2 linked regions of the Drosophila melanogaster genome follow. The gene in region 2 interacts genetically with the main gene of each other region. Each region holds a gene or a part of one and is shown on either strand. Other genes may lie near its edges.

Region 1 (6,289 bases), on a different chromosome or scaffold from region 2:
GTAAAGACACGACACGCGAGAAAACATTTTGTATCTGCTGCCCAACTGCGGAGGCGTTTACTCTGACCACCTAAACCTTAAACGAGAGAAAAGAAATTTCAATAAACATTAACTATTGATAAAACGGAGACGTCTTGTTGCCGCAATCAGTTTTTTAAAAACGCCGGTGATAACGACCACGCTGCTGATAACTCGCCGATAACACAGCGGGGCGATAAATTGAGCATTGAGCAAAGTAAATATGAATACATTATAAATATAACTCAGAATGATCTAGCAGAGAAGTAAATAAGACGCCATATTGTGTATGTATTCTCGAAGAGTATTAACAACCGATGTAATTAGTCAGTTTTAAAGCAATTTGCATTAACGAACTTTGTATTGCATTAAGTATAGAAGTCGGAACGGGCCAGATCGGACAACTATATCATATAGCGGGCATAGGAATAATTAAAACATTAACGCAAAATAAATATGTGTTCGTTGTGTTAGATCCATTAGGTGTTCTAATGTTTTGTTCATCTTAGTCAACGTCAATTTCAAAGTGGATGTTTATGATGGAAATCCAGTTCACGACACCATCATCCATTTCGAGGGTTAACTTATAGCTACCCTTTGGTAATGGGACCTTGGCAAACATACGATCATCCAAGGTGCAGTTCCTTATGTAAATATCATCCTTAAAATATATATTTTAATATGATTTAATATGATTGTCATATTGGCGAAACTAAATACTTACATTATAGGGACATGTATGATTAATATTGGAAAAGGGCATAAAGGCGGTGTAGAAATAGTAGAAGACTCTGAGACGATTTGGATACCTTAGGACGCGACAGTGTTCCTCGGAAACATTAAATAGAAACGGATGGTATCCGTTTAGCTTCCGGTAAGTGATGAATCTCACGACCATCCTATTTATTGGCAGTTTCAGAAGCTTAACGTGTATGTTGGCTCCGATAATTCCCCTGCCAAGCACTTTTAGTCGGCATTCGGGAAAGACGACGAATGATTTGTCATAGCTTTCGCACTTGAGGTTCGTGAGGCGCACGTATCCATGGGATTCTCCAATGAAAAGTAAGCTGATCCACAAGAGGTACTTCATCAGGGCAAATAGTCTGGATGTAATGACCACTCTACGCGATGGTGGAGTACTGGTTTCCAAAAATATAATTACTGATGGGGCATAATTAGATTTTAATTACTACTTATCGCAGTTCGTATAAATAATTAGGTAATCAACAAACCGCTTCAATGAGCTAATATGACGACATGTTTAATATATTGACATAGAAAAAAGATATTTCTTGAAAAATGCAATAGCTTATGACAGATATTTTGAAATGCGCGCCGAAATTAGGCAGGTCGATAAATTTGGGTAAGTAATGCTTATTTTTATCGATGCTATCGGAAGTCTATCGATCGGACTGCTTACGCGGCAATGTGACCATATAAGCGGTTTTCAAATGAACTGTAATGTTAACTCGTTAGCATACCACGATTAGTAATCCGCGCATTTTTTAGGCCATTCGCAACTGGCCCCACCACCTGGTCACTCTTATTGATCAGTTTATCGGTTGTTATTTTTCGCTTCAAGTCTTGTCTTCTCGGCGAAAAGAAAAACAATAAACAAATCGCACAGCCCCAAAATGATCAGTGGTCTGTAATCCACCTGTTGCTCGGCTTAACTGTGCTGGAAAAGCGGACTTTCGGCGCGCTGCTCTATTCCTGCGACTGCTGGTGCGTGACCTATTTATGTAACCTGTTTTTGAAAAAGAACATCCCGCTTTCGACGGGTCTGGAAAAGTGTTAATTAAACGGTCGTGGCGAGAGCGATTCCAATTAGAATTCGAATTCGGTGACCGAAAAGCGGAGAGTGCAAAATTCTGAGGCGGCAATTAAGGTAGAGAGTGATTGGAAAAAAGAAAAGAAATGAAACGAAACTAAAAGAAAAGAGTGCATTAACCCTGCCAAGCGGTCTGTGTAAATGTGTGTCTGTTTGTGGCTAGAAAAGCCAGTGGGGAAAATGACAAGGGTCACAGCATCGGTTCAGTGTAACATCATCGATTTTATTGCATTTCCAGACGGAGACGTGGCTGCATTGCATTTTTATTGCTTTAGGCGAGTGACCAAATTAAATAGCTACGCTTCAGGTTTCGTTGGCTAGAACGGTACTAACATGCACACTACAAGCGCAGCCCCGCTCTCTCGCACGCACACACGGACAGGTACACCTGCCGAGGAGCTGCAGAGCGAGCGAGAGGGAGAGATGCGTAAAGAGCGGCTCACAGTGCAACACATTCAAGGGTGCTGCTACCGTCTCCCCCTCTGCCACGTACCTTTCCCACCCGCTCTCGACAGTGCGCTCTCTCCCTCTCATTCTCCTTGAGCTTGAACCAGGCTTCCACACTGAGAAATAAACGATGTCAATTTAAAATGATTTGAATAGTCTTTTATGGAATTACGTGCGTAAACCTTAAAACAGTGACTAAGTGTGTTTTATTAATCAGTTGAAAACGTTTTTTTTTATAATCTATCATTATGATTATGAAAAATATACATATATGAAATACTTTTACTGTGTAAATCTAATCTAATCAGAGTGTACTATCATTAATTGTTTATAAATTTCAAACATTCAAGTTAAATATTTGTATATCCCATTTACATAAATTTGCATAAATACAAATCGATCATGAAGCGTCTGCTTTTTCTTGCAGTTCAGCGGTCAAGAGTTCTGAAATTGACAATAACAACAAAAACGCAGGCACACTTGTTTGTCCGGTTTGTTGTTTTTGCTGTTGCACAACGGGACATTTCGTGTGTGGACAATTGGAAAACCCTTTTTCAAATAAACGCTTTTCATTAGCCGGTTTTTGTTTCTTCTCTCCCATCTCAACCTTTTTTTTGCGTTTCCATTTGGGTTGTTGGGCTGTTTTTGTTTTTGTTGTTGCTGGGGGCTTTCGCGCACGCAGCGACTTTCTGTTTGTTTGGTGAAACTTTTTTAAGGTCTTCTCTAAATACATAATAAAAAAAAAATGAACATAATACTTTGCCCATTTTTTATTTTTGTTGTTGTCGCTGGTGAGTCGTTAAATTTTGTAGAAGATTTCAGTTGTTAAACCAGAAGCAAATTGTGTGAACAACAAACGAAGTTTTGCGAAAAAGAATTTTGTTAGCAATGCTAGTAATTATGGAAAAAGTTAAAAAAAAATTCTACAACTAACGGTGTTTTTTAAATTTAAATCATTTACAAGTTCACATTAATAACAAACACTTTATAATTTAAATTTGAAAAGGTCTAAAGGCAACATATAATCAATATTTTTGTAAAATAAGTAATATTATAAATGTTCAAATGAATTGAAAAAGTGCATTTGCTCTTAAATTTAAGAATCGTTCGCATTCCATAGACTTTACTACGGATTTATTATTAGCCATATTATCTTGAGAGCTATAATTCAAGTGACCAATAAAACAATATGGGTTTAACTAAAGTGCTCCAATTAACGTATAAGTAAAGTGAAACCTTATAGGATTATTATTGCATTTTTTGTAAAATAAGACGAATATGAATTTTTCAGATAGGAAATGTTTTTATGCCACAAATTGCTCAAAGATGACAACAACATGATGTCAAGTGTCAAAGTCAAAGTGAACAAAAAGTGGTTGTATTAAACAATTGGTATGAACGCCATACATACTTTTATATGTACATATGTTTATAGATAATATATGGCCGAGTGTCTGTATGTAGTGTAGAGTAGATGGCATAAACCGTAATTGTACGTGGCTGCCACACACGAACTTTCACTAATGACTCTCGATGAACTTTTGGATCACTCACTAAAAACGCACTCTCTTACTTATAGACATATATACATGCAGTACATATACATACATATGGTTACCATATATATGCACTTAGATACGTGCCAATCGTTCGTCACTGAGTCCACTATCACTACCATTCGATGCTAAATCTGCAGAGCCGGAAATTCTTAGACGCTCTTTGCTCGATTCTATAAGTTTTTTAATCGTTTTTGGTCATGCCCAGAGATACAAATGTCTGCCTCACACCTCGATTTACACCTTGTTTGATGTTTCGCTTCTTATCGCTACTTGCACTGCAGGGAAATTCTGATAACAGCAGGTACGGCAATTAGGCAATCGTTTTTAAATAATTCAGTCATGACTGTGCTTAGTCTAAGTGCTCTCTTCAATTTGAAAACAGTTGTGGATTGAGTACCAAAAAAAGATTAAAATACGAATATAGATACGTTTACCTAAAAAGCAATCCTTAAGATACAAATAGAGTTCCCAATAAATGAAACCTTTTCCGCGTTCTACAGTTAAGTACTTGCGGAAAGAGGGGATTTAGATGACAATGAGGGCATTAAACTATTAAATTGGGTGCTGATAACAGGACAACGAGTATTGAGCAATATTACTTAATACATGTATGTATGTCTTAGTTAAATGTTTGAACTCCAGCCGACAATTGAGGTCGCTATATGGTTGTGGTTCGAGTGTGGATCGCGGATAGATGGGTTCCCTATGTGCACTAGACTCGTATTTTGACCGGCAGAGCGTAACCAGACTGGTATGTGTACGAGTATACGTGCCGCCGTGTGCCACTAAATTTGGTTGCTCCGTAGCTGTTGCTGCTTTATTTTTTTTTTTGTCTGGCATGTTGCAATTACCGTGGAGAGGAGAGACGCCTCCCAATGAGTAACTACACTACGGCTGATACCATGCCACACTATACTATACCTGTGCGGAGGCAGCCGTTAGTCCATGTGCTAAATGATGGATGGGGTGTCCAATTGAAAGGCGGCTTCGATGGCAACCGACTGGGAAATGACGCCAGCTTGAAACTCTGATTCATGACTGGTTTCGGAAATTAAGTAGTTCGCTTAAAAAAGCCGATCTACATGTTGATTAGATGAGTTTTTCCGGAATTCTCTAGATTAAATGATTAAACTAAAGAATTATGGTTGTAATCGGACTCTGTAATCAGCGCTCATTTGCTCACTTGTAATCCGGTGCTAAAACTGGTTACTATAATTGCAATGTTTATTTTCTTTAGTTCTAAAGATCATATTTAAAGGTGGAATTTTCACCAACGATAACCTGTCAGTGGCGCAACACATTTCTAATTTCTTTTCGTAAATATCTAATTGAAGATGGTTTAGTTTTCTATCGCCTTAAATCGAAAACATTGTTTAGCTACTGCCAGGCCGTACAAAGTAATGAAAGTAAATTTTTTCAATGAAAACCAAGCAATTTGCATAACAAACGCAGCTCATTGAGACCTTCGATTTCGGTTAGACCCTCTTTTTCGGTTGGTTCTTGTGGCCAAAACTGATTGTTTGAAGCGACCGAAGCTCAAAAAGTGAAAATAGTTGGATGGCCTTTTTTGCATGTCTAAAGGTGTAAAGGTTTATTTACTTTTTTTATAGGATTTTCGGTCACGTATCAATTCGTTTGGATCGGGCTGTTTTCCCTTAGTTTAAGAAGAAAAGAAGTATCGAAAGTATGAGTTTTATGAATGCATTTAAGCCTGATGACTAATTCGCTGTTGATTTTGTGTTGTTAATGAGTTGCCACTTTTGCTGGCTGTTGGCTGGAGTGTGTTGGCCAAATCGAGGAAAGAAAGACGTTTACCTCGAGCTAGGAAAGCGATTTGATAGCAAGAACAACAAAAAGAAGACGACGGACCACAAACGAAGACAGCGACAAGTTGTGAATTCTTTCAATTTACCGTAAACTTCACCTTAATTTTTTCTACTATTCGAAGCCGGTTTTTGTTGCCGCAGGCGCTAACTCGTATTTTGTTATTGTTGCTCATGGCCAACTCTTCCACTTGTTCTCTCTTTCGGCAGAGAAGAATATAACCCAAGCGGCAGCAGCGAAAAGGAACGGGCCATTGTCCCTGGATGCCAACACAGGATCAGTAAATGAAGGACGACGAACATGGTGATCGTAACACGTGTAAGTATTTCACTCACCATTAGCCCCCGCAGTGGAGGTATCACTCCTCTTATCGAGCCACTCCATCTATCTCACCTTTCCCCGCCCCATGAGCACCAGCTAACAGAAGCAAAAAAGCGGAAGTTCCACGCCATGGCTCACTTCAACTACCATTGCTCTACGAACAGTGGTGGCTGGGAATATTTGAATGGGGCAAAGCAACAGGTTGATGGTATTTTTCAAATATATATATATTTTCATTGCAGTCTTATCAAAGTACTTTATTTTTGCATAGTTTAGTTTTTTAACTAAT
Region 2 (7,612 bases):
TTTCATCAGTTAGTAGTAATATATTCAAAACAGATTGATTTATTAATAGTGCTAAACTCTTTTTTAGCATAATCAGAGCAAAATTTAGTGGAAATCAAATTGCTTCGTAATCATGGCAATGTTTTGCGAATGTATAAAACAATTTACGTGCATGTGTGTACATACGTACCTACTTATTACCCCTTTAAGATAACAGATAGCACGGAATGTTTTACATGCTAGAAAACAAAATGAAAAAAAAAACACACTTGACAAAAAGTTTAAAAAAAATTTAAAATTGAACACGTACTCTAACATCGATTGTCAAGATGCTGGATTTTAATAGCCTATAACCATTCATATTTTTAAAATTTCTAAACATATACATATTTATCTTTCAGATATGGCTCTGAACCTGAAGGCCCTGCTGGGCATGCTGTTCGTGTTCATCGGCTGCTGCAGCAACGTGGTCTTTCTGGAGCTGATCATTCAAATCGATCCGGGAGCGGGTAACCTGATCACCTTCGCCCAATTCCTGTTCATCGCGCTGGAGGGTCTGGTCTTCACCTCCAAGTTCTTTACGGTGCGACCGAAGATTGCGCTGAAGGACTACGTCATCCTGGTGGCCCTGTTCTTTGGGGCGAACGTTTGCAATAACTATGCCTTCAACTTTAACATACCCATGCCGCTGCACATGATCTTCCGTAGCGGATCACTGATGGCCAACATGATCATGGGCATTGTGCTGCTGAAGAAGCGCTACAATCTGCGACAGTACAGCTCCGTGGCCATGATCACGGCTGGCATTATATTGTGCACTCTGGTCTCCAGTGGCGATGTCAAGGATAATACACATCACAGCCTCAAGGTGGATACATCCTACTCCGATTTCTTCTGGTGGACGGTGGGTATTGGCTTGCTGACAATCGCCCTGCTGGTCACCGCCTACATGGGCATCTACCAGGAGGTGATATACAAGAAATACGGCAAGCATCCCAGCGAGGCCTTATTCTTTACGCACATGTTACCTTTGCCCGGTTTTCTGATCATGGCCGGCAATATAGTCCAACACTTTGGTATCGCATGGTCATCGGAACCAGTGGCCGTGCCACTGCTGGGAGCCATTGGACTGGAGTGGAAATTCCCGCTGATGTTGTTCTATCTGCTGTGCAACGTGGTCACCCAGTATGTATGCATCAGTGCCGTCTACGTTCTGACCACCGAATGTGCATCGCTAACCGTAACGCTGGTGGTCACCCTGCGCAAGTTCGTCTCGCTGCTGTTCTCGATCATTTATTTCCGGAATCCATTCACCCTAAACCATTGGGTAGGCACCATCCTGGTATTCTTCGGCACAATACTCTTCGCCAATGTGATCAACCAGGTGAGGGACGCCTATCGGGCCAGGTCGAGCCGGAAGACCCACTTCGACACCGCTCCGCTGGCCAAGAAGGTGGAGTAATCTTCGCGGGCTGTGATGGTTCCTGCTGCAGAGGCCATTAACCATTAACCATTAATTTGTAGTCGTAGCGCCTTGTTTGTACATAGAATTTGCCTAGTGTTTAGACGCCTCTTTGTCTGGTTTGTAATTCTTGTGTCCGTGTCTTTCTAGATTTTCAAATGTTCGTGTTTTCTTTTAAATTAATAGTTGTCCAAAAAGTGTGTAATATACAACGTTGAGTGTTTCGAACATTAAGCCATCTATTTAATTGATTTTTTTTTAAATAAATTCTTGAAAAACATATATTTGCAGAAGCTGAAATATCTTCGAATCAAAAATAATGTGAGATAAGATATGAGTTTGCAAGTTCGAGTCTTTTGGACATGAACTCATTAGTCAGCTTGTCGAAGATTCCAAGAAAATTTTGACTAATTTCCGAAATCTCTTTCAATTTCCCGCCACATTTGAAGCTACATACACTTATCACATCGTGCTAGTGATCATGCTTAATTAGCCATGGGGGGTACATATTCCAAAGTTTCCCTTGTTTGATCAGTTGCTTTTGGCTGAAGGATTTCTGCAGACATCTGTTTGGTTGGACGTGCGCACGTTCTCGAGTGTAAGAAAAACAAAGGTTTATTGCCACATTCTTGTATAAGTATGTATTTGTATATAGGTAATATATATGTATATTCAATGAGTTAATACTTATGAAAGGAGTTTTTCGGGAAATCGTGTTATCTGGCACCAACATCTCACACACTACACTGTCGTACATAACAATCGCTGGTGTTGGCTACTTTTTGTTTAATTCAAATGCACGGATAAGTACAGGATTATCAGGAATCAAAGAACAGAAGGCGCGAAACCAAAAAAAAAAAATATTTATACTTGTATATATTAAATTATCAAAACGAAACTCATGATGGATAGTTTGGACAGGCTGATTGGAGAGGCAGCTGGCTAGTGAATCGACTGCTGGCGATCTTACTGCTCATCCTTGTCCTTGGCACCGTGCTTAAGGATGCGCGTGAATTCGAGGTAGTCGAACAGACCGTTTTTGATGGGCGCCTCCCGATACATCTCGTCCACCTGTGAATGTAAATGGAAAAGAAGTTGTAAGGGCACACTCCGACTTGATATCGTAAACAACTTGACAACATACATCCTCGTCTGTGAACCGATCACCCATGGTGGTCAGCAGCTCCCTCAGGCGATCCTCGGGCAGGACGCCCATATTCTCCTCGTCGAAGCAGCCGAAGGCGTTCTTGATCACATCCTCGGGATCGGTGCCCTGCAGCCGCTCGCCGAAGAGCGTGAGGAACATGGTGAAGTTGATGGGCCCGGGCGCCTCGTTCATCATGCCATCGAGATAGTCGTCCGTTGGGTTCTTGCCCAGCGAGGCCAGCATGTCGTGCAGATCCTCCTTCTCGACGAAGCCATCACGGTTCTGGTCGATCATGTTGAATGCCTCCTTGAACTCGGCAATCTGCGCCTGATCGAACATGGCGAACACATTGGAGGTGGCGCGTTGGGCGCGCTTCTTGGTGGTGGCGCGACGTCCGGCGGTCTTACGGGATGACATGGTTGCTGTTGGATTGGTGGTTCTGATGCGGTTAATGGAGCTAAATGGAGCCGGCCTATGGAGCTGGTGGCACTAGTGCTTCGCGCTGGAGTGATGTGTGTGCGGCGTGGATCTGAAATCGAAAAACGCCGACTCACATTAGCATTTCGTTGGCCGGGTATGTATTTATGGCTATATATAGACATATTGCAGCGAATTCCGCTGAAACCGATTTTCATTGCTCCCCAAACAAACTGTGTCAACATACAGTGGACGCTCGCTACAGTGAGTACACCATGCATATGCTTATCACAACGGAAAGAACATCTTATTGCTGCTCTTTAAGGTTTTTTAAGGAATGAAGGTTTGGCCATTGCCTAAAATGGGCGAACTACAAATTATATTTATAAATAAATAGTTTTAATACAGTTTTAGGCCAGAAAGGATAATGCAAAAGCAGTTCGATGGCTCCATGCTTCCGCTACAGTTACAAGTCCACCTTATCGGGCGCCCACTGTGAGTACGACTCATGCACGCACACATGCGCAGCTCTCTGAGTCACTCGCGCAAACGAAAATGACACGTATGGGAGTTTCGCTCTCGCTCTGCGCCAGTGCGTGCATGTGTATGCGAGTTTATCAATGCTGTTGAACTGCGGTTAACAAAAACAACATCGCACACGTATTTGGCTCATTGAAAACATTCTCACACACACTGGCACACGCATTTCAATTAAAGCCTTAAAAGGCCAGAAAAAAACCGCAGTTGAAGCACCCAAATTCACTCGAGAACTCAAGTTGGGCCAAATGTTTGCGACTTCGTTGATTTATCACTTTCGAATGGACATTTAAATGGAATTATAGCACAAAAACAATTGTTTTCATTTGCGCGCTGCCGACGCTGACTCATACGCATACACTAACACACACGCACACTCACATAGGGCAGCGCCCTTTGGGAGTTCAGTTCGTTTATTTTATCGAATATGATTGCTTGATTACGCCTGATTTGATTCATACTCACAGCTGCCGAATGCCGAGTGTTTAATACTATCGAAGTTTCGTTAATGCAACTTTCGACCAGCTGCACTTTTGTCTTTTATAATTTCGGTTCGACGAGAAGGCCAAGTGTGACCAGCATAGAGGCGGTTTCAATTTATCAGAAAATACCGCAGAATATGCTAAAAATTACTGTGCAAAAGTGCTAATTGTTGGAGCTCCTAAAATAAATAAATATTAAGACTATAAATTATATTATAAAATATAAAATTATATTACAAATGTGAATACTACTGAGACTAGGACCATGGCTATTAGAATCCTAAAAACCTATTGTCAGTTGTGCTACCAGATCTTGTTTTAAAATATTCGTTCCTAAGAAGCTCTTTTCTTGTAGAATCTAAAGTTTCTCAAAAAATTTTCTTAAGCAATCCCAATTAATTTTATTTTTCTTTATTCTTCACTGTCAAACATGGTATTTTTTTTTTTTTGGTATTAACTTTTTGAATTGCCCGCGTTCTGATTGGAGTTTCAGGAGTATGCGCACAGTCTGGCAGCCCCATATTACAGCACTTCCAAATACGGTAGTACCACTATCTTAGGATATTGTTTTCAATACGGTATGGACACACTGCAAAGTGTTTGGAATGTTCGATATTTGTGTAAAATTCTGAGAGACCTGAATGAAAAGAGGCATGCATTAGGGCGTCGAACGAGGGATTTTCCAGCCCAGCAGATCCTTGCCAGCGCGTGAAAAGCGAGTCGAGTGAAAAATCGAATCGATTGGCACGGTTGCGGTCCAATTAATTTCGAACTGAACTGCGCGATTTGCAGGAGAAGATGTGTCTATACCTGCATGTGCATGTGTATCTGTGTGTGAGGTGGCCCACGGCTGTGTGTGTGAGCAGCGTGTGAGTGTGTGTTGGTGTGTGGGTGTGTGGGCACACTGGAAAGAATCAATAAAGGATGTGCTGCGGATTGCTGAGCGAGAAAAAAGGACGAAAAGTGCTAGCCAGCGCGAATTAACGGTTGACTTTTGGCACGATTAACGGAATAACGGTCAAATAAGCCACACAAGCGAGAGAACAGTGAAAATAACGAAAGTGCGGGCACAGTTAATTAGCAAATTAACGAGTGGGTGGGCACAGGATTTCAGGATTTCGATATATTTTGGATTCCTGCACACGAACAAGATGATGAGATACTGCCTCATAATTGCTTTGCAGCTGTCGTTGGCATGTAAGTATCAAATAAAGTTTCCAAACCCAGGGGGGTGGTACAAAAAAAGCGATGGAGTGGGAGGAGGGAGTAAGCCAGTGGGAGGGGGATAAAGGAGGAGTGGGTGACCTCCGGGTTTAAGAAAATCCCCAACCCCTATGTTACCATTACCAAAATTCAACTAATTGACTCCTTCATCTACTCCCAACCCATAACAAATCCATGCCGAATCCTCGCCAGACTCCGTGGAGGTGCACTTCGAGGCGCCGGACAGCGGCTTCTTTCTGAAGCACGCCCGCCAACCACCTGTGACGCCGGAGATCGCCAATGTGCAGACATCCTCGGCGGTGCCGCCGTTACGGCAACGATCCTCCTATGATTCCGTGTTATCTCTGGACAGATTCACTGTGGTCGAGACCACGCAGCCGGTGTCCATACGCGCCAGCTATGGACCGTTTTCCACGAAACAAACGGTGCCAGCCCGCTACATTGTGCCGGACACAATGGACAGCCAGTCGGGCGATTATATGAACGTGAGTTATCCCCAAATCCTGGCAAGCAACAAAAGGACGCCTTGTCATACCACTTTCTCTCCCACAGAATGCCACTCTACTGGAGCTCCAGCAGCCAAATATGCACCTGGACATATCCGCCCATTTGGTTCGCTCCAGTGTATCGCAGGATGCTCCCGTGCTTCGGGTACTATTCCACGCCGGAGCCGATCCGGGTGGTCATTTGCAGCGCCAGAAGGTCTGTGTACTCCTGCACGTGGCGATGGGTTCGGAGCAGCCGCTCAAAGGACGCTGCATGCCGGAGGGCGAGGACGGTGTCTGCGTAGCCGAAGTGGTCGTGCCCCTGGGCTGGTGGCCCCAGCTGCCGGCGCCCACACAAGATGGCAGTGGTCAGGCGCCACCCAAAGTACCGCAGCGGTATGCCCAGGTCTCGTACAGTGTCTTTGAACCGCCTTTGCGTAATCCCGAGCAATGCGAGCCGAAGGTGCAGATCCAACCGTTGACCACATTCGCCCAGGTGCCTTTGTTGGCCGCCAGGACTCCCTATCGTATGTTGCGCGCCGATGATGCCGTCACCTTTCTCCTGCCACAACATCCGCTGTATCCACTCTCCCGTCTACATGTGCCCGTCTTTTTACATCAATATCCCGATCAGCGGGTGGCCGCCTTCACTGTGAGAGCTCGTGTTAAGGCGGGCTTAAAGATTCTGGGCGCCACCGCCTCCACAGACCAATGGAGCGTTTCTGTAGAGAAGGAAAATCCCAAACACACTACCGCTCGCGTTACTGCTTTCCGCAAAGAGGCCGAATCCAGTCTGGAAAGTGGTGGCAACCTAACCAGCGAGGTGTTTGAAGTATTCTCATGGCTGCTCGAGGTGGCCGAGGACACCAATGATATTGTGGACGGTGGCAAGATTGTGTGGTCCGTGACGCATGTCTATGACACGCCAAAGGACAAGGATTCCGGGGAACTGGTTATACCCGATGACAACAAGAAGCGACTAATTGCCAAGCTGGAGATCAACAAGGATGACATTCAGGCGGTGCTACCGATGGCCAAAATCTGGGAGGTGATGAACACGGCGGTGCTAACGGGCAGACAGGTGGCCCAGGCGATGAAGGTGTTCATCGTTTCGCAGGCAGGCAAGGTGGCCGATGTGACGCTACAGAGCTCCTGTCACGCCGAAGATGAAAGTGTAATCAAGGTGCGTCTGATGACTGTGAATCGTGCAATTGCTAGCTAAATAACCAATCAACTTCTTTCAGGTCTCCTCCTCCTGCAGCTCTGTTTATGTGGATGGCTCCGAGCAGCGCGGCTCATCCAATGCCTCGGTCATTGTCAAGTATGGCACCTATGTGGGCGTGGCCAAGTTCATCGTTTGGATGCCCGAGTTTCCGCTGGAAGTTTACATATCCGATTTCCGTCTCTCCCAAATCAAAGGATGGAAAGTAACCGATGACAATCACTATCTGTAAGTTTATTATCCTGTAGTTTGAATATCTTACTTATCATTCTTATTCATTGCATGGCAGACACAACAAGCAGTCTCGTCGAAGAAAGAAGAGATCCTACGTTTGGGGTCAGCATGGAACGAACTACTATAACAATCTGGGAGCGGACAAGACGATTTGTCGCGCTCGCTACCAGCAAAGTCCCGTGGAGGTGTATGCCAAGTTCCTGGCCGTGGACCAGGTGGGAATTCCTGAGCTTCATAAGCGTCAAAAGTGATTATATAGCCATGTTTCTCTTCTTATCCATTTGAAACAGAACTCTGGACGCACCAGCTACTTTATCTCACGGCGTACAGGCTTAAGAGTGACGGATCTGGTGCAACCGCTGCTCCGTGTGGCCGATCCCAAGATCGCATCTCTGAAGGGTCGAATTCTGCAGGGCAAGTCCA

What was found.
Region 1: of sqh (region 2) and ck, changing one enhances a phenotype caused by changing the other (phenotypic enhancement), as found in Drosophila melanogaster (one study listed by BioGRID).

Annotation. Positions count from the first base shown.
Region 1 is NT_033779.5:15,053,122-15,059,410, reverse strand, and holds the start of ck (crinkled), read left to right. Parts: upstream 1-1,548; 5' UTR 1,549-1,743; exon of another isoform or gene 1,744-1,906; intron 1,907-5,888; 5' UTR 5,889-5,979; coding exon 5,980-5,997; intron 5,998-6,289. Other genes in the region: CG33679 (uncharacterized protein), read right to left, coding at 524-679, 743-1,108. UniProt on the Drosophila melanogaster protein: Myosins are actin-based motor molecules with ATPase activity. Unconventional myosins serve in intracellular movements: can function in cells as a single-molecule cargo transporter.
Region 2 is NC_004354.4:6,221,000-6,228,611, forward strand, and holds sqh (spaghetti squash), read right to left. Parts: upstream 4,142-7,612; 5' UTR 4,008-4,141; exon of another isoform or gene 3,698-4,007; intron 3,522-3,697; exon of another isoform or gene 3,412-3,521; intron 3,159-3,411; exon of another isoform or gene 3,118-3,158; 5' UTR 3,006-3,117; coding exon 2,586-3,005; intron 2,513-2,585; coding exon 2,408-2,512; 3' UTR 2,062-2,407; downstream 1-2,061. Other genes in the region: Efr (ER GDP-fucose transporter), read left to right, coding at 383-1,441; dtn (detonator), read left to right, coding at 5,176-5,221, 5,441-5,733, 5,801-6,916, 6,978-7,183, 7,245-7,404, 7,480-7,612. UniProt on the Drosophila melanogaster protein: Required for cytokinesis, could regulate contractile ring function.